2 linked regions of the Drosophila melanogaster genome follow. The protein of the gene in region 1 purifies or fractionates together with the protein of each later gene. This does not show direct contact. Each region holds a gene or a part of one and is shown on either strand. Other genes may lie near its edges.

Region 1 (16,599 bases):
TGACCTTCCTGCCACTGTCGATGAACTTTGTGAATATCATCGACGCCTTTCGGGAAATCACCGCCGGAGTGCGCTATGAGATCCTGCTAAACGCGCTAGACACAAAGGCAATACAGCCGGCGGAAGCGGACATAGTCTGCCGCCTGGTCATCCTGGAAAAGCCTTGGCTGCGCACCCAGTGGGGCGACAAGCACCGCGAACTGGTTACCTCCAATTGCACCGACCCAGCGGTGAACTCGGTGGCCGGAGATCCGGCAGAGAAGGCGCGACTGCTTAACGAGAAATATGTGAGTAATAGCATCTTTAATGGCGGTCAGAGGAAAGAACTGAGCGACGCAGAGATGGCCAATCTGGAGTCACAGATACTCACTAACCTGGGACCTATGAGGCGGAAGGTCAGTCTGACCAAAACCGCTTCAGCGGCTCCTGTTCGTGCACCTTCTCCTGCTGCTCCTTCTCCTGCCGAGGCTGCCCCTCTGGATTCGGCAGCTCCTGCTGTATTAACCGCATCTATAGCAGTCACCAAGCTTAGTCCACCTGACGCCACTAATGAGACGGCCACGGCAATTAGCATTGATAATGTGGAAGAAAAGGCAGAAGAGGTGGAGGACAAGCACGAAGAGGAGGTCGTAGCCACCACCACAATCGCCACGGAGCTGAACGAAAATGAGAAGCGTTGGCTCGACGATTTCCTATCGGTGGGTGCGTATGACTTCGAGAAGAGTCAGGAGAAGGGGCAGCAACAGGAGGAGGCCGGCCGGGAGCAGAAGGATCCCGAGGTGGAGGCTACTACCATACCGACAGCATTATCATGAATATTCTCATTATCATCCCAGACACACACACACACACTCACACACACAGCCAGCCCCATCGTTCAGAGTCTCTGTCTTTCTCATATAAATACTCAGCCCACTCATTATACATACTCACCCTAATGCGAACAATAAAAAAGGAAAATGTTATTTAATTGAATTTATTTAAGCCTGCCTTTTCACCTGATGACGATGGCGATGTGATGATGATGGTTGGGTTCGTCGGCATGGCAGAACACTTATTTCACCTTAATAATCAAATGAGTTTCCGCTCTCAAATTACGGCCGCAATCTGTTTAACCCGCCGTATCTTAGCCGTATTCGTGGCACCTGTGCAGGGGCCATCTGCACCTGTCTATATGTCTTGGCTGTGAACTGGGGTTGGGTTGGCCCCAAGTGCCGGTATGTATGAGAGGTTAAGTGGGTGGAGGCTCAGGATTCCCCTCCCGCTCGCCGTGTAGTGCCCGCGGTGTCGACAGAAGCTGAAATACACAGAGTGGTGCGAGGCAAGTGTTCTCATTATCCTTGTGCTCTACTTTTTACAGCAGTTGGCTCTGTGGTGCCACGCACAGTGGGTCTGGGCGATTTGTCTCCGGCGGTCGGTGGCCACTTTCCACCCGACTTCGCGTCGAGAGCATAAGGGGTTAAGTAATCAATGACACAATCTGCAATTTTAATGGTGGCGACGCTGCTCTAGAGCGTGGGTTTTCCAAGTGTGAGCCGTTTGATCGCAATCCATTGATTGGAAATTTTGTGAGCAGGAGTATCTACATTGTACCATATTGAATTTAAACTGAAGGGGCATTTGGTCTTTACCGGATTTAGGAATTAAATAGCCACTGCGGGGAGTGTAACTTTTGACTTCCAATTAATAAATCCATTATTTAATTACTTTGTTTAAATCCAGCTGCCGAAGAGGGAAATAAATTACATTTGAACGCGATAATTCGCTTCAATCTTCGTTGGACATGTTCAACAATCGGAAATTCCTTTGCCAACATTATTTCCAACCCATATAAGTGCCTAATGAGCTCCTGGAAAAGTCATCGCGGAATAAATTAATTAAGTGCTTTGAAAACGAGAACCATTCAGTTCAGTTGCATTGCTGATTTACGGCAACTGTCAGAAAGTATAGCGCCGCGTTCAGCACTTCACTGTCTATACATCCGAATGGATTTCACGGACCATTGCACACTGCTCCCACCCACAGGAGCCACATACTCCATGCCCAGGGTTCTCCTCTGTTGCCCCAGGGTCGTGGAAACATCATTTACGATATAATTCTTATTGAAATACACATTTGAATTAACAGTTCCCCCCGTCTCGATGGAATGAGATGGGATAGGATGCGATGGGATGGGCTAAAATGGGTTGGATAGTAGGCCAGGCCAGTTGAACTGAGATGAGGCTGGAAAAGGGAGTGCTTAGCAGGCAGCTTAATGAATTCATGTTCGGACACAGTATGCACACATCTATAGGGATGACCACGGACTCCCAGTTCCAGCGACGGCCTCTTTTTGTGTTCCTGTATTTTTAATTATACACACGTCGTAGCCATTACATTCCATTCGGTATTGTTGTCGCTACATAGGTGACCTCCTGCACTTCAAAAGTATTTGCACTGCATTTCGGCTTGAAAGTTTCTAAAGCCGCACATTGGAATTTTTGAATAAATAAGTATATATGGATAACTCCCTCCAAGGGCAAACAGTAGTATAGAAGATATAATTCGTTCTTTTCCTCCTCAACTTACATGTTTTCCTAGCCCTTGTAGGCCATAAAATGTTTCGAGTGTGGTTCCACCTGCAATCCTTATTCGCATTCGCCATGCCAGTTGCCCGGGTGTGACAGCAGGAGCAGACATTTGGCTCCTGGCTGTGGGTGTGGATTTGGCAGAGACTGGGGCTCCGGATCCTCAGAAACCAACTCCCATCAACGGCATCAACATATTACTCGTACCATCATCGATGCCAGGCGGCAAACGAATATCCAGCCGAAATGTTTGGTTTAATTGGTTTTGTGTTCAGCATTGAATGGTTTATGGGCCGCTTGTGTCTGTCGATGTTATTGTTGGCGTATCCCACATTCTGGGGGATGGGAGATGCCTTTGGACCGCCATGTTCCTTGCCGCAAACTCTTCCAGCCACGTGTACTAGAACGATGTGTCGTTTTGTCAGATTCGGTAATGTAAATTCAGACATATCCTTGTTTTACCTACATTCGCATATAACTTATGTTCCCTCCACTCCTACCCACCACTGCTCGTGGTGTCGGAGGTCTGATGTGGTGACAGCTGTGTGTCTGTTTGTAATGGATAAGTGTTTCCCTGTTCCGTAATTAGCACAAGATTAGCGAACTCACAGACAGCAAACAAAGGGCTGATTTGGCTTGTCTTTTGGCGTGATGCGTGGAATGTATGGGTGGGATATATTGTATAGGATTAATGGAATCTTCACTTGTCTGTTTCCCATTCAAGCCTAAAGAAATAATGAAGGTATATAAAAGGAGGTAAGGACTACCTGCAAAACATTTCGAAAATAAAGGTCAAAGTAGGGCCTGGAGTCGAGCTAAGTTGTCAATGTCGTTTGCGTCCCAGTCCAAATTCAGTTTACATTACTCGGTTACCTCAGTCCGAAGCCACTAGACATATATTTTTTAATATTTTGTAAGGTGCGTAAATACTTAACATTTTTTTTTAAAGTTTATTGATCGATAAACACGGTTTGTGCAGAGATTCCTTCCATTATGGAACGATTCGCACTGACAACCTGCATTCGCCGTGTCTGGATCATGTCCGGATGGCTGCGCCAGGAGGCGGCAATAGCAGCCGGCATGTTGGTGGTGCAGCGACACCAGGTTGAGCTGAGGAATGAGGAGGAGGAGGGGCTCAAAGTCGGACAGCAGACTGCATCCAGTGGCGGTGACGTGGGCGTGGACTCGCAAGGAAGACTCCGCCGCGTGCGGCTGCTAGACGACTACATTGTGCCCTTTGAATGCGGTCTTTGATTCTCGATCCCCATCTCCTGTTCACCGATATGGTTCTGGGCCACAGCGCAGTTAGTTCATTTCGCATTCGAAGCAGTTGGCATTCAAGTAGTTCGATTCGTGAAACCGCTTCTCCAAATTTTGGTCAGACGGAATCTTCATTGTATGCGCTCTACGTGGACGGAGAACGAAAACAAATATTTTAATCGAAGATATAGCCCCAAAAAGCATGTTATTGTAAAATTTTATATTTTCACGAGTAGTTCGCGTTAATCTCGACGTTTTAGCGACATTAAAATTAAACAATCAATGGTGAACACTTTTTATGGTTTACTGAGCTTATAAATCGAGATTGGAATATTTCCGAGATTCCATAAAAAGTTGGAACTAGCCTGGAATTAAATGGCATCCGTTTGAAAGGCTTTTAAATACCCATTACTCATGAAGTGGAAGTGGAATCTTGATGGAAATGTGCAAAAAATAAAGAAAATTCGAGAGGAAAAGTTCATTTATTGCAATTGCTGTGTGTCATGTGCTGCATCTGCGTCAGTAGAATGCGTAAACTACATTTTCTAGCATTTCTTGTTTATATGAACAGACGGATGATTGGACCATGGCCATGCAGTTACTGTTTATGTAATTAAGCTAGATTACTATGTTATCAACATTGTCCCAGATTTTTATGCATGTATACATTTTTTGCAGGTCCATCGCAGCAGACGCAGCGCGAACGATATCTTGGGTAGGCATAAGCCTTACGATGAAGAGGCGGCGAAGGCGCAGCTGCAAAAATCTCTGGACAAACTGACCGCGGGAGAGGGTCCCCATTACAAGTAAGCTTGTATCCATTAATTCAAGTGACTAAACCAATAATGTAAGAGCAAAGGGTATGCTAGATTTAGCGTAACAGAGTTACAATCTGAGTTGATCTGGTCATAACCATAAAAGCTAGAAAGTTAAGACTAAACATGCAGAATGTAGAGAAGTAAGGTTCAGAAACTATTCAAAAATGTAACGTACACACTTTTGAAGAACTTGTAGGATTTTCTTCATTTTATTATATTAATAAGCATTAAGTAGATTTGTCTGATTCATTATAATTGACTCGCTCGTTTGCTGTGCTCTAGAATTGTGAAAGTATACTCAGCCTCGCGGCAAGTGGATTCAGGCATCTTGACCCGCATCGATGCGGATCTAATCGACGGGTCGGAGGAGCAGCACCGCTGTATCGTGGATATCTGGACAAAGGTCTGGGTGAGGAAGGATGAGCACGAAATCACCTTTAAGTGCCGCAACCAGCCGGTGGTCCAGGCCCGACACACGCGATCCGTGGAGTGGGCCGAGAAGAAGACGCACAAGAAGCACAGCCATCGCTTTGACAAGGTGGACCACCTCTTCTACAAGTTCCAGGTGCGATTTGGCCGTCGCTACGTAAGCACCGCCGAGCGCCAGATGCGCCTGCGCATTTTCCGTCAGAACCTGAAGACTATCGAGGAGCTAAACGCCAACGAGATGGGCAGCGCCAAGTACGGCATCACGGAGTTTGCTGATATGACCAGCTCGGAATACAAGGAACGCACGGGACTCTGGCAGCGTGATGAGGCAAAGGCCACTGGCGGATCGGCGGCTGTCGTACCGGCTTACCATGGTGAACTGCCGAAGGAGTTTGACTGGAGGCAGAAGGATGCTGTCACCCAGGTGAAGAATCAGGGATCCTGCGGTTCATGCTGGGCCTTCAGTGTGACCGGCAACATCGAAGGCCTGTACGCAGTGAAAACGGGCGAATTGAAAGAGTTCTCCGAACAGGAGCTGCTGGACTGTGATACCACGGATAGTGCCTGCAACGGCGGCCTCATGGACAATGCTTACAAGTAAGTTACGAGGGAATGAACATTACGATGTAGATACTTATGTAATAATTCCTCCGCAGGGCCATTAAGGATATTGGCGGCCTAGAGTACGAGGCTGAGTACCCATACAAGGCCAAAAAGAATCAGTGCCACTTCAACAGGACTTTGTCCCACGTTCAGGTTGCCGGCTTCGTGGATCTGCCGAAGGGAAATGAGACCGCCATGCAGGAGTGGCTTCTCGCCAATGGTCCCATTTCGATCGGTAAGTCGATGCAGAAAATTAACCCCAAAGCCCACTTAACCAGATCATTTCTCTAGGCATCAATGCGAATGCTATGCAGTTCTATCGCGGCGGAGTTTCCCATCCGTGGAAGGCCCTGTGCTCCAAGAAAAACCTCGACCACGGTGTTCTAGTTGTGGGGTATGGCGTCTCCGACTATCCCAATTTCCACAAGACCTTGCCCTACTGGATTGTGAAGAACTCGTGGGGTCCGCGCTGGGGAGAGCAGGGCTATTATCGCGTTTATCGTGGTGACAACACTTGCGGCGTCAGCGAAATGGCCACTTCGGCTGTGCTGGCCTAGACTTGCTTTGAGTCCAATTATATACAAGCATACGACTATATCTAGGTTAATAATTTAGCCAGTAACTTTGTGTACAATTAATTCTGTTTCCATGTTCTTCAACCGTCACGATAAGGAGTCGTTGAGTTTCAAAGCTTCGCCTATATAGTATAATCATTTCAGACATCTGTAATCTCACGAAAAAGTCTGCATCCACATATTCCGCTTTAATTGAAAATAACAATAAATTGTACAAGAATTAAAACCTGGTTGGGTTTATTATTGAATCCATGACAGCTCTGGCCGCAGCAACAGTTGGTCAAGATTGATGGTTGGTTGGATCAAGAAAAATGTTGAATTTATGTGAGATGTATTCAAATTATTCGATTAAAATGGTTTGATTAAATATGGGTGCCAGAGTATTATTGGCTGTTAAGAAATATTTATAACTGCTTCAATTACTGGAACATTTGACCCAGTGATTTTGATGATTGATTTTCAAACACTTTGTCAGTGTGTAGAAGTGCAATATGTTAATTAGATTTAGACCAGGGCCGTCGCACCGTGGGAAGCCATAGAAAATGAGTGTTTCTGGTGCAGAACCAGCCAGCTCAGTAGCAGCTTGAAGCGCATCGCGGGCGGTAGCGGAGCAATGGCCATGGACGACTACGATGATGACAGTAAGTGAACACAGACAAAAGGATGCAGATACAAAATTGCGTAAAAATCATTACCCAGTGAGCAGCGTGGGCGTGACCACGGCCCGAATCGAGAACCAGCACCAACAGCACCCCCACCAGCAGGGTCAGCATGGACACCACCAACAGGGCCAGGGTCAAAGCCAGTACAGCGCAGGGGCGGTCAAAGTGGGCGGATGGCGATACGAGGACGCCAGTCGCTACATCGGCGAGTGGAACCAGCGTGGCCAAAAGCACGGCATCGGGCATCTGCAGTTCGCCGATGGCACCCGCTACGATGGGCAGTTCCAGGAGGGTCTTAGTCAAGGAGTGGGCTGCCTCTGGTTCGCGGATGGAGCAAAGTCAGTTTCAATAATATTAGTGATGTAAACCTAAACGAAATATTGTAGCACTTGAAAACTATTCTTGTAGCCACTACTCGGGGAGTAAGAGGAAATGCTAGTATATATATTCTTGATCAGAAATGGTTTAGCTATAATTTACCTAGGGTTTGCATCCAGTGAAGAAAATTGTATATGATGATTCATTTTGCACATTTTTAAGACAGATACGAAGGCGAGTTTCATCAGGGCTGGTTTCATGGTAATGGGATCTTCTGGAGAGCCGATGGAATGAAGTACGAGGGCGAGTTTCGAGGCGGCAAGATCTGGGGCCTGGGATTGCTGACGTTCCAGGACTTCACGCACGGCTTTCCCAGAAACGAGGGATTCTTTCAAGACTGCCGCTTTATGAGACGACGTCGATGTCCCGAGGTGGTGCAGCGTGCACAAAAGTGCGCTCTTATGGCCCGTTCCCAGTGCGAACACCCATACTGAACAGACACTTCAGATTGGTTACCAGTTGGTATTGATAAACACGTACAGTTTAAAAATACAAATTTTAGTAACCGACTGTAAGAGTCTCAAGTCATAAAACAGAAAAAGGTGCCTTTAAGAAAAGAAATAAGCATTTCTTTCTTAACATCTTAAACTTTAATACATTTGCGCATAAACGTTCGTAAATGTATCTAAGTAATATAAAATGCATACAATTTCGCGTTTACTTTATAATTTTGCTTTTTCCAAATTCTTTATCAAAAATTCTTCAACGCACCCTAATAAAAACAACAAGAAAATTATGAAGAATTTGTGCGTGTGCTTATTGGATTATAATATTAACAAGAACGGAGTTGTTTCTCTGCTAATTCGGACTAGGCGCACCGACCAGGTACCACGCATTCCTGGCCTTCACCGCTGTGTTCCGCACCAGACGCTTGGGATCATCCAAGGCGGCGGCCAGGGCCAGAGTAACATCGACTTTGTGGGGCAACAGGACGAAGGTAGGATACTTTGTCACATCGTAGAGCAGCTGCAGCGCCGCAATTCGCACTTGCTATAAGAAAGAAAATGAGTTTAAGTTTTGTGTTCGACATTTTCCTTTACAAGTTAAGAAACCTCCTCAATTAACTATCAAATCTTTATAATAATATGTGCATGTTTAACTTACCATGGTATGCTGAGCCTTGTATTTCGACAGCTCCAGACAGCTGGGTATGAGGTGGGCCAAATGCCCTTGGAAATACGTGTCCTGCTGCGCCACAAACTTTTCACAGATGCCCAATGCAATGCACAGCGACTGCGCCTCGTTGTGCTCCTCCAAGCTCTTGAAAAGCAGCGGACCGAGCTGCTCAATGTTTAGCTTAATAACCGCCTGTGGCGTGGCTTTCAGTACGTAGACAAAAGCCTTCAAGTGGTGCACACAGTAGTTGGCAAGTTTGCTGCCCATTTTTCCCATGATAGTGTGGAAAAGCTTCTGCTTGTAGAGGAATTTAACGACAGGCAAATCCAATTCTGGGTACTCGGCGGCAATGATGTCGAATCCCAAGGCAGCGGCAGTGCTCAAACTGGGATGTTTTAGTAGATCCGAGAGCTTTAATGAGACAATATTATTTCACGAATAAGAACTAGAGAACTAAAATGGCTATACTAGTACATACATCACCAACAACATCGGCAGCCTCATCGAATCCTGCGACTACTAGGCCCTTCCCCACCCATGCAAGGATCTCCACCGCCCGAACATCGCCCTTTTTAATAGCCACCTTCAGTTGCTCCGTGATTTTTTTGACCTTCCTTAGATTAGCTGGGTTCGACTCCATCTTGTTGACCATGCTACAGAGCAGGTGGTGAGCGATTACACGCAACTGTTCGTTGTCCGAATTAAGCGAAAGCTGCGTCAAATCGGTCAGAAGCCGCTCGAAGTGGTCATCCAGGGTTATGTCTTTATGAAGGTAGCCCAGCAGGCCCTTGGTAATGTACAAATCAGCCGATTGACTCAGATTGAGTCCAGGAAGATACTCGCTTACTATAGCGCTTTGTTCGGAGAGCGGGAGCTGTTGCGTGATACGACTTAAAGCGCCCGCAATCTGTTCTAGCGACTGCATAGACAGACCCTCGGTCTTCTGGCCCAGTTCGATGAGCTTGTGAAGAAGATTGGACTCCTGCTGCACGTCCACGATAAAGCGCTGATCCGCTAGCAGGAGCAGTTTGTTTAATGCTTCCAGAGCCAATAAACGGACGGGCTCTGCAGTAGTATCGTTAAACGTCTGTGTCATAACCAAATCTAGAATGCGTTGAGTGAACGCTATTTGAGGCATGAGCGGCAATAAATTTGTGTATATCTTTCGTTTGACAAATGTGGAGAAAATCTCGAAATTTCGCACGCAAACATCAATGAAATTTGACTGCACCTCCACCGGTTGCAGGGCTCCAAGGCTAACCGTCAGTGTGGTGAAATCGATGTCGATGGACGGATGGCTGACAAGCTGAACCAGAGCTTTGTAAATTAAAGCGCGTTGTTTCTCGTTGAGAAGAGGAGCACTTTCGTTAAGCACCGAAAGGGCCGCCTTCTGCAACTCCAAGTCCTCCTTCTTGGCATCGAACTCTTCCTGTTCAATTAGGCGTAGGGAGGCGATTACATCGTCCTGCACAGACTCGCGTATCGTGGTGTCCAATTTCTGGAGAGAGCCACGCAACGCAGATAGCTTATAGACTTGGCTAACTATGTAATAGATCTTGATCCGCTGCTCAGAACTAGCATCTGCGGCCTGCAGCTTGAGCAAAAAGCTGTTGAGGATTTTGTCCGCTGCATAGGGCGCATCTCCCGATACACAAACTAAGGCGATCCCGGTGGCAGGATGGAAGAGCCGCTGATTGACATCGCTGAGATGCGGTAGAATTACGCCCAGAATAGAGCTCTGGTAGCTGTGGCTTATATCCGGTATGTGAGCAGCTCTCTCCAGGAGCGCAGACAACGCCTTAAGGGAAGCTTTCAGTATCTCCTCATTGTCATTTCCTGGAAAAGTCTCTGTTTTCAGAGCCTGCCATATCTGATCGAAGTGCGGCTCCAGAACGGAAGGCGGGAACTTCACGGCAGCTTGGTGCTGTAACAATAAATAGCATGTATAAAAAGAGGCATTTCAAAATGTTACGTTTTCTTGCCAGCAGTTCTATGGAGTCCAGTTTGGCAACCAGCAACTCACTCTCCAGCTTTTCTATGGCCAGTACCACTGTGCCCTCAGCGAATTCGTTGTTGGCTACCAGGCAGTTAGTCAACTTCTTGGACAATTCATCACGGGTTATGGCCGCTGGATCCTGCTTGCTGGGATTAAAGTCGATTGGAAAGTAACACGCAAAGATCTCAAACATCTCTTCGGCCAAATGCAGCAGCGGATACGTTGACAAGAACTCGGGCATGAAGCTGAAAATGATGTCAAGGTTGCGGGGGTCACGCTCGCCGTCAATGGAATTGATCAGGCCGTAGACGAAGTCACCGGCCATCGCTTGCAGCTCTGTATCGGGAAGAAAATTGATTTGTTTGAGTTGTAATATTGTGTAATATTTTCTAAAAATAACGGAAATAAAAGGTACTAAGATTGTCGCAAATATCTGTTCGACTAGTTAAAATCATCTAATTATAACTTTTTTGCACACTGACTTGTTTAAATCGGATTAAAGCAATGTCAATGTATCTTTCATGCTAAAATGAAATCAGGGCTCACCGTCCTGGAAGTTTTCCGTCAAGTACTGGAAAATGTGGAACAGCTTGGTGCGGTCGCTCCGCGTCTGCGACTGGCAGGTGGTGTGCTCGAAGAATGACTGCAGAATCTGGGGAATCTGGGCGCGCGGTAGAGCTTTCATGTGAACCAGGGCGTCGATTCCATCGATAATGGCTGGCATTACGTTGTGATGGTCGCGCAGGCGGTCCATGTAAAAGGTGCTGAGGAACTCCAGCTGCCGCTCTTGCAGCAGATCCTGGGGCAGTGCTATCAACACGGCGGAGAGCAAGTTGGTTCCGGCCACACGCTCCTCCATGTCCGGAGAGGACAGGGCGAAGCCCAGTGCCTCGGCCAGAGCAGATATGTCATATGCCTTGGCGGTCAGATCTGGAGGAAACAAAGAATCTCTATGAGAAGGGCACATTCGACACGGATGCGGGTGTAAACCTGCCCTTGGCTATCTGTGTGGCGGAATTCACAAGCTTCTGGTCGCTTTTCAGAGCCTTTTCCAGGGTGGCGCGCGTGGGCGTTGTCATTGCGGCACCGTCGCTTGAGTGGTGTCTAAATTTAAATGAGTTTAAGCACGTTAAGCCGAAATGTTAAGAACCGATAACCGATGACTTGTCGTACTGGCCTTATCTATATCACAGCGATGCCAGACTGGTGTTACAGTAGTGCAAATGTTTTAGCGATTAATATAGCTTTTATTGCAGTGGCGCTCAGGGATGGTAATGTGTGGCTCGGAGACAAATTCTAGAACTGGAAAATATACTTACATATTGTATATTGATTTATAATCGATAGACACGATACGGAGATTTTCTTTTTATTTTCTTGTAATTCGTTGTAAATTTAGAAATATATTTTTAGCAGCTCTGGAAACAATCGATAGTCGCCGACTGTTGCACACAGGGAACGCAACAGGGTGGTCAAGTGTCCGCGCCGATGTATCGATAAGCCCCGCATCACCAGAGCACGCACATCACTAGTATTACAAACACAGGCAGGCAGCAGTTTATTTTAGCTACCGCAGCACCTTAAACTCTGAATTAAATAGTTTACGCATTCATTTTGCGCTCGGAACGCCGCGTAACAAAGCTAGTACACTAATGTCCATAACCGTAAGTCGCCCGCGAACTGCTCAGCTGCAATTGTAGGTGTGCGGCGGCGAGACGTCAGCGCTGCTGTTGTTGTTGCTCTTGTGGTTGCTGCAGCTGCAGACGCCCCCACATAGCTGGAAATAAAATAAGAAGCATAAGAATAAGAAATACGGTGAAGTGTCGAATGCAAAGTGCAGTTTGCTGTGTCCAGAGGCTTGCAATTAACTCAAATTCTATTTAGATCGCATTAATTCGACCCATTGTGCGCCCGTGTGCGTGTGTGCGAAAGTGTGTGTTGTGTGCCGCTGAAACCTGAGCTGAGTGTGCGTGTGTGTGTGCGAGCGTTAATTTTGTTGTTTTTACTATTGTGTTTTTTGTTTTTTTTTTTTTTTTTGCATACGACGATTTGAGTCGAGTTGAAAGAATCATTCAAAGCCAACAAGGTCGAACGCCTTATTCGGCTCATAACTACCTAATACATTTTCCAATCGGCATTTGGCCCACGTCCCGCCTTGGAGGCGGAATTGAAAATCGGAGCGCGTTGCGTTTAAATTTGGTGACAAGTCGGCGGCTGTGCGCCTGATAATTTATAATTAGCAGCTCACTTGGGTCGTTGCCACTGGCATCTTCTATTATTCGCAATTGTCGCCGGGTTTTCCACTTTATTCGCTTCTGGCTGGGAGGCGCACTTTCCATTTTTACCTGCAAGGCGAGCCAGCGAATGACGAAGTCGCTTCCGTTCTATTGTTCCCCTTCCCACCCAGCAACACTTGGAGAAACTCACGCACTCGAGCGCTTTAATTGGAACTAATCTCTGTCTCTCGTTTTTGGCTACAATGACGACAACCTGTTCCGATCGCCAGTTACTGCGAGGTGGCAAGCAAAAGACAACCACTTGCGTAGGAATGACCGTAATGGCCAAGACTACGTTTGAAGAAATATGCGAGAATGCCAAATTAGCACGGGACATGGCTCTGACGGGCAACTACGACTCAGCCTGCATCTACTATGAGGGCCTCCAGGGGCTGCTCGCCCGCCAGCTGAAGGCCACCGCGGATCCGCTACGCAAGGGCAAGTGGAGCATGGTAAGACATTCCTATCACCACCTCCAGATACTGTCAACTACCATGCCAATGAATGCGAATGGTGACGGTTATGACAAACAAAGGACTTAGTCATAACATCTTGTCAACGCCATTCAAAATTGCCCAAGAGGTTTTGTGTAAACGAGTTATCTAGATCGTTAACGTGCATATAAAGATTTAATTTAATCAGAACACTACCGAATGACTAAAATTTGAATTACAAAGTAATTTCTAGCACTACTGGCACAAAGTAACTGGCTAAAACTCCAATAGATCATAATAAACCAAGTATTTTCAAAAAGTTTAATATTTACCATACCGGACGATTTCATTGACATCATTTAACTAACTGATCTTCGATTTGCAGATCAACCAGCAGATTAGCCAGGAGCACGCCAAAATCAAGGCCATTCAGAGAACCCTACAAGACATCTCGCTGGACCTACAGTCAACCAAATTTGCACACAAGCTGCGACACCAGCTCAGCGAAGAAAGCACCACCAGTAAAGATCCATCTGCCTGGTTCAAGCCGGACCCCGACATTTGGACGCCTCCGCCCAAGGATCCAGATGTGTGGGGTCCGCCGAAGCCACCACCCACCACTCAGGCCGTTGGCCGAAGAGCCGCACCGAACAACCGCCGCACCACTCCGGCAACGCAAAACAGCCGCCCCAGCAGCACAATCCCGCAGAGCACTGCCCGGAATGGTCCGGCCTCGACACGCAATTCCCGCAACTCAACGTCCGCCACAGCACCGAGCGGCGGAGCACGCACCACCAATGGAAGGGCTGGCGGTCGCAAGCTATCCACATCGAACACCAACGAGGCTAGGGACGACGACTCCACCGCTGCAGGCAACAATGGCGGAGCGGCTGGCGATGGAGAAAACGGCGATCCGCAGGCCGCCCAAGAGGAAGAGCGCAAGTTTCAGCCCAACAACCACATCGAAGCCGAGCTAGTCGACATTCTTGGTAGGTGCCTAAATCGTTGCCGCAAGGTTTGCCTCGTTCAAAATTTGGTGATGTGCTAGTCTTATTTATTAAGCAAAGCTAATGCATTACTCTACTTGCTTTAAGATTTGTGGCTATTTCAAAAATGGTAGTAGTTATGAAAATTTGGGTCTAGTATAGCTACATTTATTACATGCCAACGCTCTCTTTTCAGAACGTGATATTCTTCAAAAGGATCCCAAAGTGCGCTGGAGCGACATTGCCGACCTGCACGACGCCAAGCGGTTGCTGGAGGAGGCCGTCGTGCTGCCAATGCTCATGCCGGACTACTTCAAGGTGCGTCACCCCCGCTGTTTGTTTTCTGTGAATCACATTCTGCCAAACGCTTATCTCGCGATGGGTCAACAAACGCGCTTTATTATAGTGCTCAGGGCAATGTGTATTTGATCAACTATTCTGAACTGTCACGAAATGCATCGCCTTGCAGCTTTATCCCTCTTAACTAGGTGGTGGAACTTGTCAACACATTCTACTTTTACTTGGGGCGGTTTAAAAGTTTCCATTGTTGAAATTATGCTGATTATGATGTACCTCTATCTATGTTATCTTATCAAACTATGTGTGCGTTCAAAAGAATATCGATCCATAATAACCTGTCGAAAAAAAATAAATAATTATGTATATATTATGTATATATATGGAATGCTGACCATGTGTTTCTAACGCCTTTAAGTCACATTAAAAATCACTGATCCAAACACCTGAGACTGAGCTCGATTGCTATGTTGACCGTGTTGTACCATATATGTAAGAATATTTGTTGTTTTCAAATATTTCCGTCCAACAAATATTTTCCCCATCTAAAATGTGGATACCATGAAATTTTGCGTGGGCGAAAGATGTTTGAAATGGGCATCAGAGAAGCCTACAGCACCATTTTTCGATTTACCATCTTACTGAATAAACAATAGCAAGAAAGATAGACTTAACGTGGATAGTAGATAATTAGATATTTATGTTTGATTGGAAGAAATGGTACTCACTTCTCCAATGTAGATTATTTAATTAATTAGAATTAGGCAAATGACACAGCCTAAAACAGTGGTTCAGATCAAAACAATCGGAAAGTATACAATTAATATATACTGAAAGTTTGTAAACATTTTAAAGCAAAAGTACATAATCACTTCTTGCTTTCTACAACAGGGTATCCGGCGACCGTGGAAGGGCGTGTTAATGGTGGGACCTCCAGGCACGGGCAAGACAATGCTCGCCAAGGCGGTGGCAACCGAATGCGGAACTACGTTCTTCAACGTGAGCTCGGCCACGCTGACGTCCAAGTACCGAGGTGAGTCGGAAAAGATGGTGCGGCTCCTGTTCGAGATGGCCAGGTTCTACGCGCCCAGCACAATTTTCATCGACGAGATCGACTCCCTGTGCTCGCGCCGAGGATCGGAATCAGAGCACGAGGCCTCGCGACGAGTGAAGTCTGAGCTGCTGGTCCAAATGGACGGCGTGGGCGGCGGAGAGGAACAGGCCAAGGTGGTCATGGTGCTGGCCGCCACCAACTTTCCTTGGGACATCGATGAAGCGCTTCGGCGTCGTTTGGAAAAACGCATTTACATCCCACTGCCATCGGATGAAGGTCGCGAGGCGCTGCTCAAGATCAATCTCCGCGAGGTCAAGGTGGACGATAGCGTCGATCTTACCTACGTAGCCAACGAGCTGAAGGGATATTCCGGAGCTGACATCACAAACGTGTGCAGGTGAGTTCAGAATACACTAATTTAAAATGGCGTAGTCAGTTCCAAATCATGTCAATGGAATAAAATGCGTGCTCTTCTTTTTCCAGGGAGGCCAGCATGATGTCGATGCGGAGAAAGATCGCAGGACTGACCCCAGAGCAGATTCGGCAGTTGGCTACGGAAGAGGTGGATTTGCCCGTTTCCAACAAGGATTTCAACGAGGCCATGAGTCGCTGCAACAAGAGCGTGTCCCGGGCAGACCTGGACAAGTACGAGAAGTGGATGAGGGAGTTCGGATCGTCATGATGGCGCTGCAGACGCGAATGGCTAGCGATTGTAGGAGTATATTTTTGAATAGCCTTAAACACGCGCTTAAGTCATTAAGCTTTTAAAGTGAGAACCGAACCGATCCGAGCCGAACGGAAGAGTTGAACATATTTTATATATAACATTTTGCAAATACGATACAATCTATATATTTACATATATACATTGAACCGGAGGCCGTTGGAATTAGAAAAGACTAACCGCTCTCAAAGAGGAAACACAAATGGAAAACTGAAATTGAAATTGAATTGCAATGAAGTCGAGAGATAGGCAATACGTTTATGTATACATAGCGAAAACCACCCACACACTCCATGAGCACAAACCTTCCAACAAATCGTTAACCCACAATCACACTATATGCAATAAGGAATCGCTTTAATCGCCGCCTAGCCTTGGCCTCATACTCCCACAATATGCACACTCCAATCCGTATCATTTTTTA
Region 2 (16,599 bases), on another chromosome or scaffold:
CCAAAATCAGTAGCATCCTGTTGGCGGAAGTGGCTGCGGCAGTGCCAGCCATGTGGAAAGTACTGTCGAGACCGGGGCCATAAAGAAAAACTTCATTTATTCGGAGGGAAATAAATCTTTTAATGCACATCGGAGAGTCGTTATTCGGGCATTGTTTTCTCATTTGCCACAACACCTCCGAATACGCCCACAAAAATCATGGGGCATATGTCGTGCCATTTGGCCATCGAGGTCCTCCAGCCAGCCAGGGAGCCAGGCAGCCAGTTAGCCCGTGTTCCCCCAAAGGTAAAGGCACATCCTCAACTAAAGCATCCAGCTCCAGCGCTCAGCTTTTGGCCAGAAAAGGCCGATTTCCCTGTCAGAGCAAATGAACGTTGAATGGCTATTTCAATGATTCTAATTATGGAGCCGCCCGGCGCAAAAGTTTGTTAAGTATCGCGTGCATCATTGTTATTGTTTTTCTTGCCAAGCCCGAGATCCACAAAGCAGCCGAATTGCCTTGTTCTTTGGATATATGTGGCTACACGAACAGCAGCGGGCAAGAAGCTAGGTGCATATGATTTGGGCTCTAAAAGAAATGTCAATCAAATTGATTAGTTAATTAATATAATTTAAGGTTTGCTTTACATTTTATACATAATACTATCGAAATGTTGCTTTCCATTTATGGTACTCCAGTGAGATCTATTTTGTTGACCTGTGCTGTGGGAATCCATCCTCGCCTGTTACATTTCATTCGATGGGTGGTGTGCGCTCATTAGGTGGCCACCCCTCACTCTCACTTCCATTTCCAATTCCAGCGCAAGTCCTTCGCTTCGCATCGTCATGCAAAATGTCCCACAAGGACGGCAATTGTCCTGCGCTCCCGGATTCATGGGTGTGTGTGTGTGTGTGTGTGTGCATGAGTTCATGTGTGCGTGGCTGTGACCTGTGAAAATGTCCGTGTCAAGTTGTGAGTAATAACACGGAAATGCCGAAGGAGGAAAGGACAGCGAAGCACAGCTCGTAAAATGGACAAACACAGGACAGACAGCCGCGTGGCTTTCTTAATCATGTAGTAGACATGGGAATACCCTGCCTAACACAAGAAACTGCAATTTAAGTTTTGATTTGGTATCTGTATCTTCAGATAGAGTTAGTTTATTTATTTTGGGTTACGAAGATAGTTTACTTGCAAACATACTTTGAAGATTATTATGTTCATAAAACTACTTGGCTTAAAGATGGGCCTAAACGGAGTTTGGGCAAAAAAGTATGGGTTAGTCAGCTTGTATTGCTTGTTTTAATTATTACCCTTCAATTAATTTGTGACATGACCAATATGAGTTTCGATTGATGTAATCAAACCTCTTGACAAATCGCCCTACACCATTGGCAACTACATCTGCCGATTTTCGCCGACAAGCTTAGCTCCAAAAAAAAAAACAAAAAAAAGGACATTAATTAGCCGTACGTGTTCATGCATTACACAAGTATTTGTTGTCGCTGGTATTGGGCACCATAATAGCTCTTTTGCTCCTCTTGTGTCAAAACGACAAGGAAAACGAGACCAAGACCCAAACACACATAAAGCTCCAGGATGAATGGACCTTTTGACCTTCTTCCATGTGTACACCATGTGAGCATACTCGTTTATACGAAGCGAGTATAGATATACATATGTACATATGCATGTTTGTAAATAATTACGAATCCTTCTTGTTTGCTTGCAGAGACAGCGAAAAAGTTAAATTACACAAATCGCAAACTTTAATATCCACATCCACATCCCCCTAGTTCGAAACAAAAGTCAAAGTAATGGCGTTGCGTAATTAACGAGACTCTGGGGATCTCGAACCGATGGACGTAATTTTGCCGGGTCTTCAATAAATCCATATACGTAAATGAAACTTGGTCAAAAGAAACCAAACCTGGCAAGTTGTGAATGGGCTTTATTTGCTTTGAAAGTTTTTTTTTTTTACACGTTTGAGTGGAGGAGAATAACTTAATTCAATTTAAGTGGGGCAACTTTTAGAGTATAATTGTATTATTTTTTTATAATTTCATTGGATTTAGAATTAATATACGCTATTAGCAGTCAATTTAATTCCTTTTGTGTTCGATTATACTTTCAAAAAAATTTATTATTCAAATATGGTATAGTTTATGCGCTTATATTGATCCTATAAATCAACAAAAAAAAAAGAACCTTATGAATTATGAGAAGTGAGTGAAACAATTTAAAAGCAAATCTATGAAAAATCATCAAAATTGCTAATAAGCTCACCTCGATATTTTTAATCAATGTGCTGGTACACTGAACTTGGTGCTAATTTCCATGGGTGACAAATACAAATGCATACGAATAATGAAAAAAAAAAATGGATCTTACATTCTAAAATCCCCTTCTACAATGTCATTTTATACGTGGTAGAATTATTCGCTAAAGGCCGCTGAATATTTTTGATTTTCTTCTTGTTCAGCTTGTAAGGCGCCGAGTTTCGATCCTCCGGTGATCCACTATCATATGGTGTCCGTACGATTTCCGGCAGGTGGGCGTAGTATACGATGCGTTCGTTACGAACCGGAAAACTCAGGTCGGACTGCTTCGAAGAGACGTACTTGCTGCTGCTGTAGGAATCGATGGGCGCCATGGGTTCACCGATGTATCCGCGCCGCAATTTCGGATAATCCCTCAAAGGCGGGGCATCCGGGTAGCGGTCGGGATACATAACGTAGGGTTCCGGATACTGCGGTATCCGGGGACTATAGCTATCATACGGATCGAAACGTTGCCGGTGCATGTACATGTCCTCAAAGTACTGTGGATAGTTCCTATGGTACTGCTCATCATATCTGCAAAAATTTAATAGTTTAATAATAGTAAAGACAATAATAGAGAAGAGCAGAATTTCATATTCAGTTAAGATTAATTTCATAATCATTTTTTTCCAATATTCATTTTTTTGTTAAACTAATTATCAGATTCTGAGAAAAAACTGTCCAGATGAACTATCTTCTTGCGATAGTTTCGGTTTACTTGAACACACACTCACCTGTCGTAGCGGCGAATATAGGGATCGTAGGACCTGGACGGGTACATCGGGGGAGCACTGGCCAGCAGTTTGCCGGAATAATCGCCATACCAGGGCAGTGGTTTGTGGGCGACACCACTGACTGGCCTGTTTAGCGAAGCCAAATTGCCTTCGCCATGAATCTTAATGGCGGACGAGGCACTCAGATCATTATCGGCCCCATAGGGATCTGCCATTCGTCGAGATCCCAGATAGTAATCGTAGTCCTTGTAACCCAATGGCGGCTTCTGGTAATTCATCTGCTTTGGCTGCGTAGGATCCAGGACGCCCATGCCCATGCCCATAGTATCCACCACGCTGCTGTCCTTCGCCTCCATATCCAAACTACGGTCAGGATCCTCGAAACTGGGATTCGCCGCAATGCAGTTGGCCAGCAGCAGTGGCATCAGACATCGCATCCACATATGGATTACTCTATTCTCGGACATCGTGCAGAAGTACAGCCGATGCGCTCGGAGTGCCAGGTCGAAGTGCTCCACTAATCGCTGCAAAACTCTATTGAAAGGTTGGGCATTAAACGCTACAATGATTCGGCGACATGGTAAGTTGAACTTCAAAGCCGTTTGTTCTGGCTGCTTTGTTGGTCATTCTATTGGAGCAGTGAACCGCAATACTCGCAGTACATTCCCCGATTTCACCGCTTGCACAAAAATAAGCATAATAATATAAACAATATAGAACTTCTCTGATTGCACTACTCTGTGTGCTAAATGCATGTAAAGCCATTAGTTTAGTTGCAATCTAACAAAAACAGATAAATCAGCTACCTTTTAACAATCTAATTTTATTCATTTCTTTCTTTCACCAACATACCTTTACCATACACATATATGTACATTTGCTTTAGATCGCCATGAACTTTTTTAGATTAGTCGTAAACTCTGAAAAGTGTACTTACCTAAAAGAATATTTGATCGCAAATAGTTTATAGAATTCACGTATGTTTTCTTTTATATATTTTCAAATTTTGGGACTTAGGTATAGGTAAATAATTATTATATAAATTAGTTTGCATAACAAATTAATATTACAAATCATTAAATAACTAAGGCCCATTTTTCAATCATCATGGTCTGCTGAAATTAGCTTGTGTCGAAAGAAATCATACGTAACTTTCTTAGTTCACAAGTTGACTTCATCGCAACATGACGATGAATAGATGGCCGAAAGGTTAATGTTAATGTTGGATAAACAGCGTTCGGAAGAGCTCGTCTTAGAGCTGCTGTTCCGGAAACGATTGTTTAAAATTCCTTAGTTTGGCAGCTTAGAGCGACAAATGAGGCCACTCCCCAGGACACTGGATTTCGTAATCAGGCTTTGGGAAGCTGGTGGTTTTCTTTTGTTGACGATCTTTGTACCGTTCAAGAGCTGATTTGAACGCCGAGGAGCATCTACAGCTGGATATGCGTTGCCCTTAGAAAATAATTATGTTTTGTAATTGTGACAGCGTGGACCCAAAGTGTGTGCTCTCGGGCAGGTTCTTGATTTGCAACAACCACCGCTGGCACTCGGCGCACTTCCTCTGTCGATCCTCGCGTGTCACATCGACGCCCAGGCCATTGGCGGCCCAGGAATCGAGGTTCTCCTGTATAGTTGGCAAGAAGTTCGACAATATAATACGCAGGGTATCACAGGCTCTCGTAAAGTGGCTAAAATACAGATTGGGATTACTTGGGCTACCTTTTCGTTTATGTTTATCCATACTTACAACTTGTGTTGGCTTTGCAAGAGTTCGTAAATCTCTGGCAGCACAAACATGCAGAAGTCCAAGTTCCACGAGGACCTGTTATGGGATTAAACTCCTATTGTTATCGCTGTCGCTTTAATATTTATAATATTATGCTTACGGTTTCTCCAGTATGGCTCCGAGTAGATCTATGAAAATGGATTTGCCACAGCTCCTTGCCTGCCTTAATGCGCCCAGCACATCGTGAGACCTACATGATTACCAATGGATGTGTCAATCGATCGAATGTTTCAAATAGACCGTTTAACCAATACTTACCTTGTTGCGTGCCGCAGCAAATCCAGGCTAGACTGACGATTGCTCAGCTCCTGCAGCACAGCCTCGTGTGATCTCGAGAGCATATCGAAGTCGTGATCATCCATTATAATGCGATTGTTCATTGGCTGCTGCTGCTGGAATAATTAATTAATTAATTAATTAATTAAATAAAGGGCACCAAGCGAAGTTTTTAAGCACTCACGTGAATTTGCTTTTCCTGAGTTTTAGCCTGGTGCGACGTACGCATATCCAGGGTGGTGCGGGATCGCATCGGTGGCTTTGTGATGATCTCCACATTGATATTTTTCTGTTGATTGTTCTCCTTGCTGAACTGACTCTGGGCCGAGCCCATTGGCCGCTTGTTCTTGTTGACGACATTCGAGGAGGAGGACTTTTTCAGTACCATGTTGTCGTCCAGCTTGTGCAGTTCCATGGAGCTGACCGAGGAGACCTGGCTTAGCTTGCTGCCACCAAAGATGCCCGTGGACGTCTGCTTCGCGCCGGCCATGTTGTTCGTTGTCCTCTTGTGCAGGGTGGTGGTAGTGGTCTTCTTGATCGACTTGGACGAGGCGTTGATCGTGGAGGTTGCGGGCACTGGCTTATAGTTATTGGTAATGTAGTTCAGGTTCTGATTGACCGGAAAGTCCTCGGCCATTTCGTAGTTATCATAGTTGTTGAGTATTGGCGGATTGCTATCGTTCAGATTGAACTCCAACTGCTGCACATCCGCCTCCTCGTTCTTGTCCAGCGGATATAGATTGTAAATGTCCGGCTTGTGCAGTGAACTGGGTTCGTTCAAGGACATCAGGCGGGTATCGATGGCCCCGTAACTACTGCCATAGCTGGCCATATTATCAGGCACTCTGGAGTACTTACCCTGCCTTAGGGCAGAATCGATTGCTCCGCCATATACGACATGATGCGGCGCCAAGTCCGCCGACGATCCGGCCATCGAAGCCAAGTGGACAGGTGGCAACGAGGACATTGGAGAAGTCTCCGCCGACTCCAGCACCGCCTCGTTCACAACCTCCAGACTATAGTTGGGCGAGGACAATCCACTCTTGTCGCCCTCGTGCTCCTCCTGCACCTGTGCCGGCTTGGCACCGCCAACTGACAGCCTGAACTTCTGGTTGCCACGTGTAAAGCTCTTTCGGTTCGTCGAGTTGTGCTTAAAGTTGGGTAGTGAGTTTGGCGGCTGATAGAATGGTATCACTCGATCCAGACTGATGGTGTTGATTGAAACGGTGTCGATCTCATGACAACCACAGATCTACAAAAGGAAGTGCAATGGTTTTTATTGGATATTCCATTTGTAGACATTTTACATTTAAGATCTAAGATTGGTTTTTCAAAAAGTGAAAAACCTAGATTTCCTAAATTTGAATGCGAATTGATTCGGAAACTCAACAAGTTATGACATTCCATATTTGTGCCATTATTTTTAATGTTTTGCTCAAAATACCGATTATTTTTTTCGCATAAAATCAGTGAAACCAGTTTTGGCATAAAATGCAATATTTAAGATTGGTTTTCTGGGTATAACTTGACTAAAAATGGCCACACCGCCAAAAGAAATACCGTTTTGTGCTCCTAATTACCAATACTAACCACCCCTTTCACTTTTGGACGGATTTTGTAAAATTAGTTTTTGGCCAATTTTTCGCCTTTTTTATAATCAAAATTTTATCATCAAAATTTGCAAAAAATTTAAAAAACCTAGAATTCCCAAATTTGAATGCAAATCGATTTGGATTAAAAAAACAAACTCAACGAGGTATGACACTCCATATTTGGACCATTTTTTAGAATATTCTGACCAAAATACTGATTATTTTTGTCAAAAAAGATAACGGGGATGACGAGATTTGGAAGGGTGCTTCGCTTAATGAGTAAGTGCTTTCACTTACCAACTTATTGTTGACCACTTTCATGTCCGCCAAGGAGGACCAGGTGCTTTTTATATGGTCCAGCTCACGATCCGGTTCCCATCCAATTACCGAAATGCCCGAAGAACTGCCAACAAAAAGGCACTCGCCATTGTCACTGAAATAAATAAAGTTTAACATGCAGATAATTAGAATTTATGCACTTTTTGGCAAAATTACTATATTACTATTTCTTTTCATAAATCAATTCACGATTGCGGATTATTCTTTGCAGGACTCACCTAAAGGTTATACACCTGATGGCCTGGCCATAGAAGTGCGTGGTCTGCGAGACGAGCTGCTGGTGTTCCAGATCGTAAATGGAAACGGTGCCATCGACGCGACCGGCGGCCAGCAGGAACTCAAACGGATGGAATTGCACGCATGTGATAGCCGTAACCGGCGGATCGGCTATGAACTCCATTATCTGTTTGCTCTTCCGTATGTCCCAGATGAGTATGGAACCCTCCAGGCCAGCAGAGGCAATCCAAAGACCATCCGGCGAGAATTTTACGGAATTCACGTGGGACATGTGGCCGCGACATACCTTAATGCAGTTGTTTTCGTTCTGCACGTCCCAAAGCCTGAGATTGCAGACATATGAAAGTTAATAGTTTGCTAAATAAGCAACAAAGCATATGTAATTCATAAAGTTTCAATAATATATGTAATCTCCTAGTTAATTCATTTATTGTTGCTCAATTTATTGTTGTTTTATACATTTCTATGTTAAATAAAGAGACATAGTTGAATTTGAAATGTGGAAGATAAGTGTAATTTCCATAATTGTTCATTTTTAAATTTAATCGTCTGGAAAATGAAAACGGGTTGGAGTCTTTGCTACGGCTTAGCGAAGTTCCGAACCGAGGTTTACGTCCGCGATGCACTGCTTTCCAGCATTTTGACGGCACTACTTTCTAGTGCTCACAAACGTATGAATGCGGGCAGTATATTTTAGTGCATTTTCATGGGTTGAACCGATTAAACGATTGCAAAATTATCTCGGCAGCGAATAGTGATGCACTTTGTACCACTGATACTGGGTTAATCTGTGCATATTCGGGCATACCATACCATCATACGGCGAATCTACGAGAACTGTAAGTTAACCCTTGTTTAATGTGTGTGTGTGTGGGCCATTTCACGCGGTTCGAATAACTGTGCTGTCGTCACTGTGCAAATGTATCTTGTATCTCGGATTTCGGCGATTTCGGTGCCATCCGAAAAGCACTTGACTATGAACCGTGAACCCCTGGACTTGGACCATATCGCCTGGGTAACGTTCTTCAGCCGAAGAGTCCAGAGTTACACTCACATATGCGAGGGCAGGGCAGATAGCATTATCGCTTGAGATTAAGTACGATTGAAAAGTAGTGCTACTCTCCTTTCTTGTTCGATTATTAGCCAACCAGTTTATTTTCATCGGTTCATTCGTGTTTTACAGCCGAAAAAGCGTTGCCGCAGAGACCGGATTTGTGCAGCGAAACCAGAAATTGCGATTGCTATTGACCAATAGACAGACCATGTCCTCATCCGATGGAAAACTTCGTTACGATGGCCGTGTGGCGGTGGTGACGGGAGCTGGTGCCGGTTTGGGCCGCGAGTACGCACTGCTCTTCGCGGAGCGTGGCGCCAAGGTGGTGGTCAACGATCTGGGTGGCACCCACTCCGGCGATGGAGCATCGCAGCGGGCCGCCGACATTGTGGTGGATGAGATCCGTAAGGCCGGCGGCGAGGCGGTGGCCGACTACAACTCGGTAATCGATGGGGCAAAGGTCATCGAGACGGCCATCAAAGCTTTCGGACGCGTCGATATCCTGGTCAACAATGCCGGCATTCTACGCGACAGGAGTCTGGTGAAGACCAGCGAACAGGACTGGAATCTGGTCAACGATGTCCATCTGAAGGGCAGCTTTAAGTGCACCCAGGCGGCATTCCCGTACATGAAGAAGCAGAACTATGGCCGCATCATCATGACATCGTCCAACTCGGGCATCTATGGTAATTTCGGGCAGGTCAACTACACTGCCGCCAAGATGGGCCTCATCGGATTGGCCAACACGGTTGCCATCGAGGGAGCCCGCAACAATGTTCTTTGCAACGTCATCGTGCCAACTGCCGCCAGTCGAATGACCGAGGGCATTCTGCCCGACATTCTCTTCAACGAGCTGAAGCCCAAGCTGATTGCTCCCGTAGTGGCCTACTTGTGCCACGAGTCCTGCGAGGATAATGGTAAGTGGGATCCGAAGTTATGCGAGAATTGCATTATCTCAGAATTGATTATCATATCAATTTGTATCAATTTAACCCTTTGAGAACTACAAAATTATGCAATTTTTGGCCAACCACTGCTAAGTCATCTTTAATATGTCCAGTAGTCCAATCCAAATGGTCAACATAATCTGCCTGATTAGGGAAATTCATACTGATAGCGTTTGAACTTAGACCGTTTATCAGGAATATGTGTACATGTGTGTATATATAGGGTTTATTAAACGTTTTCTCTCTCCCTCTTCTCCGATCCACAGGTAGCTATATCGAGAGTGCCGCCGGCTGGGCCACCAAGCTGCACATGGTTCGCGGCAAGGGCGCTGTGCTGCGTCCTTCGCTGGACGACCCCGTGACCATTGAGTACGTCAAGGATGTGTGGTCGAATGTGACCGACATGTCCAAGGCCAAGCACTTGGGTGCCATCGCAGAGGCCTCCGGCACCCTGCTGGAAGTGCTTGAGAAGCTCAAGGAAGGCGGCGGCGACGCCATCGAGGATGCCTTCGAGTTCAATAGCAAAGAGCTTATTACCTACGCCCTGGGCATTGGGGCATCCGTCAAAAACGCGAAGGACATGCGCTTCCTGTACGAAAACGATGCCGATTTCGCCGCCATTCCAACTTTCTTCGTTCTGCCCGGCCTTCTGCTGCAAATGTCCACCGACAAGCTGCTCAGCAAGGCTTTGCCCAACAGCCAAGTGGACTTCAGCAACATTCTGCACGGCGAACAGTACCTAGAGATCGTTGACGATCTGCCCACCAGTGGCACTTTGCTGACCAACGGCAAGGTCTTCGATGTTATGGACAAGGGATCCGGCGCCGTGGTCGTCACCAATAGCGAGTCGTTCGACGAAAGTGGCCGCCTGTTGGTGCGCAACCAGAGCACCACTTTCATTGTCGGCGCTGGCAAATTCGGAGGCAAGAAGGATCCCATCGCTGGTGTAGTTCCGCTGCAGCCGGCGCCCAATCGCCAACCGGACGCAACCGTCCAGTATACGACCAGCGAGGACCAGGCGGCGCTGTACCGTCTGTCCGGCGACAAGAACCCCCTGCATATCGATCCCCAGATGGCCCTGCTGGCCGGCTTCAAGACACCCATCCTCCATGGACTCTGCACACTGGGCTTCTCGGTGCGCGCCGTGCTCGCTCAGTTTGCGGACAACAACCCGGCTCTGTTCAAGGCTGTCAAAGTGCGCTTCTCCGGACCCGTAATTCCGGGCCAGACTTTGCGCGTGGACTTGTGGAAGCAGGGCACACGCATCAACTTCCGCACCGTGGTCGTGGAGACCGGCAAGGAGGTCATATCCGGCGCCTATGTCGACCTGAAGAGCTCACAGGCCAAGCTGTAAGCGCGGATCACCTAGAGACACATAGTCTGCCTTAGTCGCAATGGATTATCATTGACTTTATAATTCGTTTCGCGTCCGTTTTTTTTTGTACATACACTATAACAAATATGCCTATACATATGCAATTGTTTAAACGCCCGTGGTGGTAGAAGTATTTTTTTGTAACACTTTTATAAAACTCCCAATAAAACATCACATAACTGAAAATGCAATGTTGTTTAAGATCATGGATGTAATAGATCTGAGAGATAAGATATATGAGATCCCAAAAGAAATATCAACTTTAGCTAAACAACACAAAGTGATATTATCTTTGTCAGCCTGTCCCCTTTTGTGCAATGTAGTGAGTCATATTATCTTTGTTTTACACATATATAGGTCAAGTGATATCTAAGAAAAGACCATATAGATACAATGCATCTAATATGTATGTGCATTAAACCGATATAAAATTTCTAATTTCTAAATATGAGATTTTTCTTTTGTGTAGATTATTAAACCCAAAATACGCGATTCTATAGGATTAAGCACAGCTAAAAGAGGGAGGGAGAATATCGCCATCCCTTTTCAATCAACGAATAAACTTTAAATCTGCCACTTGATAAGGAAACTAGAGCTTCCGAATGACTCATGGGTTACTCTGACTATTTATATATCGGTCCTTGGCTCACCTGACGGTGGTATCATTGCTCCCGGACACCACATATTCTCCAGACGGGTTAAAGTCCAGAGTGCGAACACTCTTCATGTGGCCATTTAGCGTGGAGTAGATTTTCTGTGAATTCAGATCCCATCTTCGGATTATACCGATGTCGTCGGCGGAGTAGACAAAGTTATCCTTATAAGCAAAACGCACGCAATCGATGGAACGATTGTGGCCCGTCAGAGACTGAAAGGAAAGGGTCACCGATTAGTACATACATATATTTAGGAAGTAGTTAGTATATTCACCATAAAGCACTCATTTTGACCAATCGCCCAGAGGTTCACATTGCGATCCTCTCCTCCGGTGACCAGCACTCGTCCAGTTTCGCCAAGATCAAGGCTCGTGACCCTGCTATCATGTGCCTTTATATCGTCTGCAAAGGATGAGAATTGGTTAGTCCTCTTCGGCAAGTTTTCATGATATGATGATATAGTTAGTATGTTCAGATTAAGCTATGCTTTAAACAACAGCTTTTCAAGATCAAAAGGAAAACTTACAACAAATATATAATAATAAAAATATGATATTTTCGTATTAGTATATACTCAATAAATACAATTTTATAATGATTTTTGAATCTTTTCAAAGGAAACTGTGTCGATATAAATAAATAAGTACCTTTTACGTTATCCACATTTATGAATGACAAGGATTACTAGTATTTTGAAAAGCAAAACAGATAAAATAAAGCTAGGAAATCGATGTACATACATACATATGTACAGTATATATGTACATACATATGTACGTAAATGTACGCATTTCAAAGAAATTGAAAACTTGTTCCCAGATTAAAACCTTTTTGAACTTCTATAGTTCTTGGGATTGAATTGAAGTTTTCTAAAGGCTATATACAAATATTATTTTAAAGTCTGAAGAAGCCGTATGATGTTTATTTGATATTGATATTGCGTTGTAAAACAAGATATTAATTACTTTAAAACGAACAATTCAGCTGCAGCTGCACTCAATGTTCATATGTATCTACATACATACATATGTGCACCTGGGGATTTTCCTATTGGATATCTGCATTGTTTATAAGAACGCGTGGTATTGTTTTAAAAGTTACTGAAGTTGCATGCAACACTAGAATTTACGATAGGATTTCAAACACGCACGCACACACACATATATACATGCAGTCGTATTTCTACGTGCTTGTGTGTGTGTGGGAATATACAACGGTACTTTCGAACATTCGGTTTACTTACAGATCTTGGATATCAGTTTTCTGGGCAGCGCCATAATCAATCAAATTGTTCTTATATAAATACGCTGGCAGCTGCTAAATTCGATCCGAATGCCAGGTTTTCGAATAAATATTATCTTTTTGTAGCAGGTGTGAGCCAAAGTCTGTGATCAGCTGTCTGGGCTCCCGTCTTTTTTGGGCAAAATGAAGCCCACTTATTTACGAAACGAACAACAAAACGCACTGAAACAAAATCACACGGTGTGTAAAACCTTTACGAACCGATATCACCGTGATCGCATTGTTTAAAAACAGATAATCTAAATGTTTAATCGGACAATTCTTATTAACAAAAACAAATGCACATCACATTGTAATTACAGCGACGACGAGGGCTGCAGCAAGCTGTCGATGAACACCGATTACCAGGGCCGGCATAGCGATTGCATTTTGTACATTTAAGTAACAGTCGTTGGTTATAATTATTAATACATATATATATATATATATTGAAAATAATTTGTATTATAAATTTGTATTATTAAATAACAATAATAACAGATAATGTGAAAAAAAATTAATTGATATTTTACTAAATTATTTACAGCCCTGAAGCTGTAAAACGGTTTACAAAAGTATTAAATTAAATATTTAAATAGACTAAATGGAATAGAATATTAAATAGACTGAAGTAACAAGAATTGAATTGATTCTGATACATGATTTCAGCAACGATATATCGTTCACTGCGAAACGGTATTAATTTAGTAATTTTCATCGAACCCATGCTGCGGTCACACTGCGGCATTTCCTCAAAAAAGCATCATCATTGCCTGGCGAATTCGAGAAGGAAAAAGCTATAAGTTAATATTCTGCAAGTACCTCAGCTATTGAATAAAGCAACAAGATGTCCTCACGCTACGATCGTGCTGTAACCATATTCTCTCCCGACGGTCACCTCCTGCAGGTGGAGTATGCCCAGGAGGCCGTTCGCAAGGGATCGACTGCGGTAAGTGCAATTTAGTACCGTTCGCAGTGCCGCCAAACCGAAACAAACATGGACTTTTCCAATTTTTCGCCTCGCAGGTCGGAGTTCGCGGCGCCAACTGCGTTGTGCTTGGCGTGGAGAAGAAGTCGGTGGCCCAACTGCAGGAGGATCGAAAGGTGCGCAAGATTTGCATGCTCGACAACCACGTTGTAATGGCTTTTGCCGGTCTCACGGCCGACGCTCGCATCATGATCAATCGTGCCCAGGTGGAGTGCCAGAGCCATCGTCTCAATGTCGAGGATCCCGTGACCCTCGAGTACATAACCAGGTGAGGATTTGTGAAATAGTTGCGCTCTAAATTAGCTTCTATATGGTTTTGGCCTTTCATTTTAGATTCATTGCCCAGCTGAAACAAAAATACACGCAGAGCAATGGCCGCCGTCCCTTCGGTATTTCCTGCCTTATTGGCGGCTTCGATGCCGATGGCTCTGCGCATCTGTTCCAGACTGAGCCGTCGGGCATTTTCTACGAGTATAAGGCTAACGCCACCGGGCGATCGGCAAAGGTTGTGCGCGAGTTCTTCGAGAAGTCCTACCGCGAGGAGGAGGTGGCCAACGAGCACGGAGCCGTCAAACTGGCCATCCGTGCGCTGCTCGAGGTGGCGCAGTCAGGCCAGAACAATCTGGAGGTGGCCATCATGGAGAACGGCAAGCCACTGAAAATGCTGGACACCGATGTCATTACCGATTATGTTAAGATCATCGAGAAGGAGAAGGAGGAGGAGCTCGAGAAGAAGAAACAGAAAAAGTAACACCCAGCAGCTGGGACACTTCTTCGATGGAAGGCCGTTGCATTGAATCGCTTTCCATGCATTCGGCGACACTATCTGGTGTCGCCGCCCACATTCTGTCTGCTCATTGTAGCCAACCTGATTTGACTTGGAAAACGATTCAAATTGAATTCGGTGAACCGAATGCATACTTTTTTTAATTACCACTTTCTATTCTTCGGAACCCTGTAAAACGGTATGAAAATATTTGATCTGTATAAAATACATGCGTCATCATACATTAGGCGGAGCTCCTGTTGAATATTCGAACTTTGTTCTTGCATTTGGGATTCAAGATTGTTCACGGGAGGATTATGGGCAAGCTATTGGGGGGTATAAAGGGTTAAAAAACTTACATTAGTGGTATGACATTGCACTTTAATGGCAACGTATCATCAGGCCCAAAAAAGTAATTGTAAACATACCACGATTTTACTGGACTTTATTGCTATATATTGTACATGTTTCGTAATTGAAAAGTACACATTTTCCAGTTGGGATATTATACAAGCAAAAGAACGGGGGAAGAAAAAAATAAATTGTATTCAAATAAAAATTTCATTTGGCGGGCTCTTGCAAAGAGCAACAAGAAATGCAATGACAGTCTGGCAACGCCGTATTAGCACGACTCTCCATGCTAAGGCGATTTTCTGGGAACACCTATATAAAAAGAATGTGCAGATAGAAAGCTTTGGAATATTTCAATAGCTTGGAAATATTAGAAAATGTGATAAAAACACGCCAGTAAGGTGCCGGTCTGACAGTCTGGCAGCACTGTTCTTGTCGAAAAGTTGTCTGCGAAAAGTTTTGCATTAAAAATCAACTTGTTAGCAAGTTAAGAGTACGAACTTATTCCAATTCTAATTGGAAAACTCCTAAATTGTGATAATTTCGTAAAAAACTCTATGCAGGCTCGTGCAGTGTGCCCAGCTGGTGGCTAAGCGCAAGTACCTTCATTCGCGCGCCACTTAACTGAGGCGTTTTGGTATTCCCTGCAGATGGAGCGACCGGTTGAGCGATCCGATTGTTGCACCGATAGTTCGGCAGCTATATATTCCAAGTCGGAACCGAATCGTTTGCATCGCCCGCTGTTCGTTCCCCAGTCAAATTTGTGTGTTGTGTGCGCCAATTTCAGCGGGGGCCAAAATCGATAATCTGGTTGTGTGATTTTCGCGGCTTTTTTTTTGTGTTTTCTTTTAAAAAACAATCAATACCCGAAGGTAACGTGTGTAGACAACTAACAATTCACCTCAGTGTGCGTTTGCATTCGTTGACGCTTGACATATTGGTACACATTTTATTATTATTTTACCTTGTTTGTCGTTTTCAAAACTCAAATTGCATGCGAAACACGAATCAAATCCAGTCGAATGAAATCGAATCCAATCGAATCACTATCTGAATTCAGAACCACCGAATCGGAATCAAAATCTGGTATGGGAATCCTTCGAATCAACCAACAAATATCGCACCGGGTTCAGGAAAAAGGATGCTCGGATTGTGGGATGGGTCGTTGTGGTAAGGGGGTCGTGGGCGGGGGTTCTTAACCCAGAACGCGCTTAAGGCCCCTTCGCACGACCTAAATTCCGCATGGAATCGCCGCTTTTGAGGCTTAAAAGAGGTCTATAATGTGACTGGCAAAGTAATGTAGCTTATTTATATTTTAGTTTCATTCACAACATTTAAGTTTACAGAATTCGAGTAGTATAACGGGATATAAGGGAAACTTAGCCCGTGCAGATGAGCCCTAATCCCACCTACTATGCACACACATGCAGTTGTACCCTTGCACGTACTACACACATTGCCACTGTATGCGTAAACTTTTGGCCTGGCTAAAAAACCAAAATAAAGATGAAAAAATGAAGAAAGTGCGAAACAGAAAACATGTTAATATTAAAGCAAATGTCCCGTGCTAACGCGCCCGCCCCCACCTGTGCTATTGGGCCCTGGGCTTTTCACCTGATTTCCGATCTTACATACGTTCGCATGTACATAATGTACACTTGATTTGCGTGGAGTATGTACATACACATGTATGTACATTCACGTATTCACAAGATTAGCATTTTACGCCCTATTTATTTGTGCGCGAGTGTGGGTGCATTCCCTGGCTCCAGGAGCGGAGTCGGCGGGGTCATTTTGGGGCGTCACCCCCCAAAACAGTTTCAATTGTAATAAAATTTAGTGGATACAGCATAATTCCGATTTAAAATTGCCTTTGATCAAATTAAAAACTTAGCCACCCTCTCGCTCCGGCCCTG

The links.
Region 2: the proteins of Kat60 (region 1) and kat80 purify together in Drosophila melanogaster (affinity purification with western blotting; one study listed by BioGRID). This does not show direct contact.

What each region holds. Positions count from the first base shown.
Region 1 is NT_033777.3:5,227,526-5,244,124, reverse strand, and holds the start of Kat60 (katanin 60), read left to right. Parts: upstream 1-11,915; 5' UTR 11,916-12,056; coding exon 12,057-12,068; intron 12,069-12,811; coding exon 12,812-13,132; intron 13,133-13,499; coding exon 13,500-14,103; intron 14,104-14,296; coding exon 14,297-14,418; intron 14,419-15,288; coding exon 15,289-15,848; intron 15,849-15,934; coding exon 15,935-16,133; 3' UTR 16,134-16,599. Other genes in the region: CG33293 (uncharacterized protein), read left to right, coding at 3,561-3,821; CtsF (cathepsin F), read left to right, coding at 1-287, 4,506-4,633, 4,928-5,671, 5,731-5,912, 5,969-6,234; rtp (retinophilin), read left to right, coding at 6,866-6,893, 6,952-7,252, 7,459-7,726; Mms19, read right to left, coding at 8,091-8,282, 8,397-8,819, 8,887-10,332, 10,391-10,740, 10,951-11,334, 11,399-11,483.
Region 2 is NC_004354.4:16,262,993-16,279,591, forward strand, and holds kat80 (katanin 80), read right to left. Parts: upstream 13,189-16,599; 5' UTR 13,124-13,188; intron 12,926-13,123; exon of another isoform or gene 12,762-12,925; 5' UTR 12,575-12,761; coding exon 12,541-12,574; intron 11,700-12,540; coding exon 11,572-11,699; intron 11,510-11,571; coding exon 11,292-11,509; intron 10,824-11,291; exon of another isoform or gene 10,621-10,823; coding exon of another isoform or gene 9,533-10,620; intron 9,237-9,532; coding exon of another isoform or gene 8,528-9,236; exon of another isoform or gene 8,412-8,527; intron 8,105-8,411; exon of another isoform or gene 7,959-8,104; intron 7,589-7,958; coding exon 7,247-7,588; intron 7,123-7,246; coding exon 6,987-7,122; intron 6,350-6,986; coding exon 5,282-6,349; intron 5,214-5,281; coding exon 5,080-5,213; intron 5,012-5,079; coding exon 4,922-5,011; intron 4,858-4,921; coding exon 4,783-4,857; intron 4,724-4,782; coding exon 4,489-4,723; 3' UTR 4,015-4,488; downstream 1-4,014. Other genes in the region: CG12507 (uncharacterized protein), read right to left, coding at 2,388-2,835, 3,036-3,502; Mfe2 (peroxisomal multifunctional enzyme type 2), read left to right, coding at 8,528-9,236, 9,533-10,620; Prosalpha4 (proteasome alpha4 subunit), read left to right, coding at 13,426-13,527, 13,605-13,834, 13,900-14,317.